Linked DNA regions of Nothobranchius furzeri. The protein of the gene in region 1 purifies or fractionates together with the protein of each later gene. This does not show direct contact. Links are inferred from orthologs where the notes say so. Each region holds a gene or a part of one and is shown in the gene's direction. Other genes may lie near its edges. The genes, in order: slc7a14a and golm1.

Evidence for each region.
Region 2: the proteins of slc7a14a (region 1) and golm1 purify together in Homo sapiens (co-immunoprecipitation; 3 studies listed by BioGRID and IntAct, with this or other methods). This does not show direct contact. The link is inferred for Nothobranchius furzeri from reciprocal best matches to the Homo sapiens genes SLC7A14 and GOLM1.

What each region holds. Positions count from the first base shown.
Region 1 is NC_091758.1:22,803,696-22,807,521, forward strand, and holds part of slc7a14a (probable cationic amino acid transporter), read left to right. Parts: intron 1-641; coding exon 642-859; intron 860-1,005; coding exon 1,006-1,152; intron 1,153-3,826. UniProt on the Homo sapiens protein: Imports 4-aminobutanoate (GABA) into lysosomes. May act as a GABA sensor that regulates mTORC2-dependent INS signaling and gluconeogenesis. The transport mechanism and substrate selectivity remain to be elucidated.
Region 2 is NC_091757.1:48,315,882-48,320,269, forward strand, and holds the start of golm1 (Golgi membrane protein 1), read left to right. Parts: upstream 1-1,353; 5' UTR 1,354-1,493; intron 1,494-1,567; exon of another isoform or gene 1,568-1,671; intron 1,672-2,501; 5' UTR 2,502-2,514; coding exon 2,515-2,643; intron 2,644-3,996; coding exon 3,997-4,176; intron 4,177-4,388.

The sequences.
Region 1 (3,826 bases):
CATCTTCGACTGGAAAGCTGATGTTTCCAGCTGTTGATTATTTCCTCCACACCCAAGGGAAGGGTGGAATTTAGCTGAAAGTACATCTCATTGGTTTCCAAACACACAGCTCGACTGCTGGTGCTTTTGTAAAGTTACATGTGAAGTAGTAATAATTTTTAGTGATGCTAAACATCATGAATTTATTATAAAATTTGTTCTATGGTTGGGCTACAATTAAAGCCGTTCCTATTAACAGCATTTAAACACATTTATGGTGGAGACACGGCAGGTCTTTGTATGGCCCTGTTGGAGAATTCCTGTGTCCATCTACATAATAACCTCATGTTATCTTCCAGTTTTATAAGATACCTTTTTCTAAAGTAGAAAACATTCCTGGGAAAAATGCAATTACCGGTAAATAGTTTTTCTGCACTATATTTTTTGACAAATACGGGAAAATTAGGAGATTTTTAAATAAAATTTGTTTCTTATTGTAACTTAAATATTTATGATGTTTCCCATGGTAAACTAGTTTACTTTAACATTTTCTGTCAGGTTTGGGCATTTCATGGGTCAACGGAGTAAATATGACTATATTGTTGAATTCCCTTGTTTATTGAAATGACTTCATTTCTAAACTGTGTGTGTATCTCCTTTAGGTAAAGGAGAACAGTCATATCCTGACCTACTGGCCCTGCTAATAGCCTTGTTGGTGACAGTGATTGTGGCTTTAGGAGTAAAAAACTCCATTGGCTTCAACAACGCTCTGAACATCATCAACCTCATTGTGTGGGTGTTCATGATGATCGCTGGACTCTTCTTTGTCAATGGAGAGAACTGGGATGAGGGAAGATTTTTACCCTTTGGGTGGTCAGGAGTATGTGTGCAAACACCACACACACACACACACACACACACACACACGCACACGCGCACACGCACACACGCACACACGCACACACACAAAATCCTTCTGTATTATTTATACAAACCATTAATTATTTTACTGAATGTGTGTTGCAGGTGATGCAGGGTGCTGCTACTTGTTTCTATGCCTTCATCGGGTTTGACATCATTGCTACAACAGGAGAAGAAGCCAAGAGTCCCAACACCTCCATTCCCTATGCCATCACCGCCTCACTCATCACCTGCCTCACTGCCTATGTTTCTGTGAGTTTCCTCACTCCCACTGACATTAATCAAGTAGCTGAATCATCCTTCTGCTGGAGTATTTTAGACTATCACGCAGGCCCCACACAGGTTTCTCAGCTAATTTGATCGATCGTTTGTTTCAACTTCACCTGATCTACGTGACAAAATGATAACAGTGTTTGAATTTTTGAGACATCTTAACTGTTTGTAAATGTAAAAAGGTTGAATTTATCCACAATATTCATGTATTCAGGTCACACAGCTTTCAGGGTACACTGACTGGTTGTTGCTGTGGGTGCTGCACAACAGGAACCAATCAGAAATCAGGGATTTTTAGGCATTGCCTCAGGCAAAAATTGCATCGACTTTCAAACTTCACTCAGCCATGGGCGTCACACCCGTGGGGGATGTTTTTCTAGTGAGGAGGTTAAACACTTACACTTTCCCGCAGTTTAGCCAAAATACTTTGCTATCACTTCGGTCCTTCCGTGTTTCTCTTGATGTGTTTTCCCTTCCCGCCTCTCTCTCCTGTTGACCATTGAAACCTGCACTTCTGTGCACCGGTGTTATGTGAAATATTCAAGCCCAGTCAATCATTAACATGCGTTTCTCCTGCTGCTCTGCACTGCCCGAGCAGTGAGATCACATGGGCTCATCACAAGCTTGCTCTGAGCGCGTTCTGTTCTAACCACAGGAGAACTACAGCCTCCTTCAGCTCAAACATCTTTGAGCAGATCAACTCTTGGTAGGTTACTCGGGTAGCCAAATTATTTAGTGAAAGTTACGAGCACTACCCCTAAATATGCATCATCTCAAAGGTTGTGATTATCTTTCTCTTACTGAAGAACAAAAGATTAAATTATCACAAAAAGTTATCAGGATGTACCACAAAGCTGAAATTGGTCCAGTTTTAGTTTCAGAGCCAGGAAGAGCTATTCCAACCAGTTTTACTCTGATCTCATACTAAAACTACAAAACTTAGACTCTTCTAACCTGGACTAGAGTTTTTCTGAACTTTAATGCTTATTTGTTTTGTGAAAGCCCAAAGAAAGCAGATCTCAGCACTTTTAATTTTGCATCTACAGGTGAAACTGTTTAAATATGGTGCAAAAGTTGATTTATTACAGTATTTGAACTTAAAAGGTGAAACTAAGCAATAAGATAGACTCATTCCATGCAAATCCAGATATCCCAGCCTTTATTTGACATAATTGTGATGATTATGGCTTAAAGCTTATGAAAATCTCACATTTAAAATGTCTGACAATGTGAAAAAGTTCTATGTTCTAGGCTCAAAGTGTCACACTCTAATCAGCTAATGAATGAACAACTGCAAAGTTTTCTCAGTCTAAGATGGATTACTGACTGTTGAATATGAGTAAGAACATTTATTTCAAGAGTTCCGACTGATCACCTATGAAATAAAACATTTTGCATTTCATAATTACAGTAGATTAGAGATACTGGGGTGGAAAAAATGATTGAGAATTGACCTTTCTGAATTGAAAACTAAAACGGGGAACCAACTTCAGCTTCATACAAAACAAGTAAAAAACAAAAACAAAAAAAAAAAAGCCAAATGAATGAGAAAAAATAATCTAATTTTAAAATTGCATTCCAAATACGTTTAAGGTAGTATTTCTAATGATTTCAGGATAATGCACATAGGTCGTGTAACTACATGTGCGCACGTGCGAGCGTGCGCACGCACACGCACGTGTGTGTGTGTGTGTGTGTGTGTGTGTGTGTGAAAAATCTCAACATCTGCCACACTTTTGAGAAGCTTGCTACCCCCCTGCTCTCAGCCACATCTGTTCCTCCACCATCAAGCTTCTCCCTCACTCCAAGGCTTCCTTAACCTTTTTGATTTGACCTGTTGGCATTTTGTAAAAAATTCCTTCTCCTGTTCAGATCTTCCAACTGCCTTTATTTAATGAATAACATGACTGAAATAATTCTGCATATTAAATGTCTCATGTTCTTTTTTAGTGACGTTGCATTGTAACTTGAATGAACGATGTGAGATCATCTTTCTGATCCTGGGTTGAAATTCTTTCTGTTCTGAACTCGAACTCTTACCGGTGGTCTTTTGGGGATGATTAAAAGGGCATGCTACACCAGTGTATGTTCTGGTCCAAAATTCCCATGAACAAATTCCTGTTAACTAATCTCAGAGGAGCTGAAACTGTTTAATGGGAATTGTTATTATTATTATTATTATTATTTTTTACCATTAAATGCATTTTTGTAATAAAGCTCTGGTGTTTTGACACGTTAAGGGCAAAAATGTCAAGTTCCTCCACACCAAATTCACTCATCCATGTCTTTACTGGAAACTTTAAAGGGGCCACATCATGGAAAATCCACTTTTTAGAGCCTTTTTACCATGTGGTACATTTATTTCCTTATGAAAAATACCCCTAAACTTGTTTTGGCCTACATTCATGCATTTTCCTGTCGCAGCTGCAACTTTTGAATTTTATTTAGAAAATCCTGCAGAAGCCTTGATGGAAACTAAGTGCATCATCAAGCCCTGCTCCTCCCCCTTAAGCTATTTTCAGATCTGAAACCCCTCTCCCCCAGAAGTAGGAAGCTAGCGCTCACTTTCTACTAGTTGCGGGCATAGGCCGGCTGCTTCCATTCTCCAGTTGAGAATGTGACCTTCATGTCACAGATGACTGCTTTAAACCTC
Region 2 (4,388 bases), on another chromosome or scaffold:
GACTACCTCAGCAACTTCTGCCCCCGAGATTGGACAGTCCATCCCCAGGTCTCCCGGCTCTGGTTCCTCCTCGGAATGCGCATAGGTGGGATTGAGGAGCTCCTCAAAGTATTCCTTCCACCATCCGACTATAGCCCCAGTTGATGTCAGCAGCTCCCCATCCCCAGTGTAAACAGTGTGAGCGAGTTGCTGCCTCCCTCTCCTAAGGCGCCGGACAGTTTGCCAGAACCTCTTTGGAGCCGATCGATAGTCTTTCTTCATGGTCTCACCAAACTCCTCCCACGCCCGAGATTTTGTTTCGGCAACTGCCACTGCTGCACCCCGCTTGGCTATCTGGTACCTGTCTGCTGCCTCCGGAGACCCACAGACAAGCCACGCCCTGTAGGCCTCCTTCTTCAGCCTGACGGCTCCCCGAACCTCTGGTGTCCACCAGCAGGTATGGGGGTTGCCACCACGACTGGCACCGGCCACCTTGTGACCACAGCTAGCAACAGCCGCCTCAACAATCGCAGAGTGGAACAAGGCCCACTCGGAGTCAATGTCCCCCACTTCTCTCGGGACGCGGTCAAAGCTCTGCCGGAGGTGGGAGTTTAAGACCGTCTTGACAGGTTCTTCTGCCAGACGTTCCCAACAGACCCTCACTATGCGTTTGGGTCTGCCAGGTCTACGCGGCATCTTCTCCTGCCATCTGATCCAACTCACCACCAGGTGGTGATCAGTTGACAGCACCGCTCCTCTCTTCCCTCGGGTGTCCAAAACATACGGCCGCAGGTCAGATGATACAACTACAAAGTCTATCATCGACCTGCGACCTAGGCTGCCCTGGTACCAAGTGTACGATGGGCATCCTTATGTTCGAACATGGTGTTCGTTATGGCCAAACTGCGGCTTGCACAGAAGTCCAATAACGAAACACCAATCGAGTTCAGATCAGGTGGGCCTTTTCCTCCCAATCACACCCCTCCAGGTCATGCTGTCATTGCCCACGTGATCACTGAAGTCCCCCAGCAGGACAATGGAGTCCCCTGGTGGAGCACTATCTAGCACTCGTCCCAGGGACTCCAAAAAGGGTGAGATAGTATCTCGAATCTCATAATTAAGATATAGCTAAGTCATAATTATGTGACACTATCTCATTTTAATGAGGTAGTGTCTCATTATTATGAGATACTCTCACTATTATGAGACACTTTAAAGTCATGATTATGAAATTACATAGATTTTTTTTATCAGTGTACTATGGACTTCCACACAGCAGCTCGTACAAGGGAAAAAAGTGCTGTTATTCCCTCTGGAACCTCTGAGCGGGGCTAATGTTTTATTTAAAACCAGACACCCACCTAGTCCCCACACCGCTACGTGAACCGGTGTCTGTAAATGGTGCGGACCCACCGACAGTTCAGCCACGGCTGTTGGTGTAGCAGTAATGGGCAGGAGCTAGTTTGCAAGGGCGCTGAAGCGTTTTTATTTCCGTGAGGAACAGAATTTTTTTGGTACTCATCACAGAACTTCGCTCTACATACCTGGCTAAATATTTGCTTTGTTTTGGTTCTGTCATATCTGATAGGTGGATGATTACGCTGCTTGTCTGATGTCAACTCACGCTTTGTTGCTAACGGAAGTTAGCATTAGCGTCTACGGTGGTTACGAGAGAGACGATTCACATTAAGGGTTTATTTTTTGTTTGTTTGGCCGTCAGTGTTTAATCAATGATATAATTAAGGGTTTCGAATTTAGTTGTACATGTAATCGATACTAATTGTGTTGGAACAGTGTTTGTTTTGATCCTTAAAAAACGTGTCTGTTTATGTATTGTTTATGGCAAACTAGCTTAATTTTCCTGTGATTTGATAGTTTTTCACAATTCTCATTGATTGTTATTTTGTTAGTTATATTTGTTCTGGTTTGTCTTTGCTATTTTATCAGAAAAGCATTTGGATTCCACGTTGACTAATCAGCAGGATCTTTATGTGGTGTTTTCTTTATATTTAGATTTGAATGGGGATTTTACCTCCAGCTGTTTGTACTTTAACTGTAGTCATAATCAATATTTAACAGGAAGTATTTCTCAATTTTCATTACTTTGTCCTCTTGTAAATCCCCACTAATGCTAATTTGGTTTTGTGAATATTATTTACACTGGAAGTGGGTTTTTAAAAGTTTTATTAAATCAGTAAATTAATAGGTCTATAAAATGTCCTGCAAAATGTCCTGCTTATCAAACTGGGGCTTCTAGCTACAGAGTTGAATTCCTTTTATGACAAAGACAAGTGCAGAAATATTATCTCTCATTCTCTTTTGACACCAAGAAGTTAATCGGGTTTAATCTGAGACACATACTTCTAATTAGAAGTTCTGAAACTGCTTTTTGTGTCTTAAAATGATTATTTAACAAAAATATTTGTCTCTTGTTAGATGCAAAGTACCAGTTTAAAAAGCCTTTACGGTAACAATCATATGATCTGATTATGACCGTGTTTTGTGTATGTGTGTGTGTCCAGTTTCTAGATCACTATGGGTGGGTTGGGGAACGGCCGTCGTGGAGGACGATCCCCCCCTTTGATGATTGCAGCTCTGGTTGCTTGTATCTTGGTTCTGGGATTTAACTATTGGGTGTCCAGCTCTCGAAACCTGGAGCTACAAGTAGGTTTGGCTTATTTTTTTATAATATAGTTATTATAAATGTATGATTTATATATATATATAATAACTGATATTTTGTATCACACTTTTTTAAGTCTAAGGATTTCTGTAGACTTCAGAGGAACTAAAAGGGCTTCATGTTACACCCATTAGGCCTCATTAGGCTGCTACACTGGTTCCCTCTGATCACCGTCAGCAGGCAAGGAGGGTCAAGTGTCATTCCCAAGAATACAATGTCTGAAATTATGATTAACTTTTAAATTATATATTGAATAAACAAACATCTTGGTCTTAATTAATTTAAAATCCTCATGTTTCTTAGCCTGGCAAGCCATCCTATATATGTGAATATAAAGTCTGGCCACAGACCATTGACGGCTCTTAGACGTGGGGCGGGATCTACGGTTGACTTTCAAACGTGTCTCTGCATGCTATTTGATAACAAACATGTTGTATCCACCTCTACAGATGTCAAAATTAAATTTCAAGGGTGTTATAAACAAACTTTTGCCATATTTGTTTGTTCAATAACATCCCGCCCATCAACAGAAGGCAGTGATTGGCCCACCAAACCAATAGTGCACTGTGATTGGACCACTACAGAGCAGTCGCCATCTTAATTTAGCTCACTCAGGGGGCGCTGGTGCCTACCTCCATCGATCAATGGGCAATCAGGCGGGGTACACCCTGAACAGAGAGCCAGTCCATCGCAGGGCAACACAGAGACACACAGGACAAACGATCTCAAACACACACACACCTAAGGACAATTTGGACAGACCAATCAACCTAACAGTCATGGTTTTGGACTGTGGGAGGAAGCCGGAGTACCCGGAGAGAACCCACGCATGCACAGGGAGAACATGCAAACTCTATGCAGAAAGATCCCAGGCTGGGAAGCAAGGCAACAGTTCTAACCACTGCGCCACCGTGCAGCCCAACTTTTGAACATATCATTTGTTATTTGTAATAAAAACTAGGTTGATGACTCTAGTGCAAACATTACATATGGAAGCACAATGATAGCATAAAGCAAATGTCTGCAAAAAGTCTAAAACCCTTTCCTCTAAATAAACAAGACTTTATTCATATTTCTGCAGTAGGGAACAAACTGAGTGGATAATGTTAATATTCCACACATGCTGCTACTACGGCAATCTGAATCTGAACACATGCAGATAAAATGTGACTACTGTCAAAATGACCACACAGAATTAAGTACAACATATTTTACTAAAGATGCAAAAGCTGCATTTATTAGATACTCGTAAATCAATCCTCCCATGTTTACATTTTATTTCTGTATGAATTCCCACCGTTTTGATCTAATAGGAGCTCCTATGTGTCCCACAGACCAAGCTGTATGAGCTGGAAGGCCAGGTGAGACGTGGAGCAGCTGAGCGAGGAGCTGCAGAGACCAAGAAGGCGGAGTTTCAGGAGGAGATCCAGAAGCAGAAGGAGCAGATCACTCGCATAGAAATCATGTACAAGAGGCAACTAGAAGGAGCACAGGTCACCTGCAGCCAAGAGAAGGTGAACTTTAACACCATTTGGTGTCAAAAAGTTGTTTGTATTTTCATGGAAGCTTTTTGATCACTGTTAGGGTTGGGCATCGAGAATCGAGCATCGATTGGAACCGGTTCCAACTGTTCATTTTTCCCGGAATCGCTCAGTGTTTTTTATTTCGATTCCTAGAATGCCGACGGAAGAGGAATCCGCGGCCGATCTCCGTGGAAACATAAAGG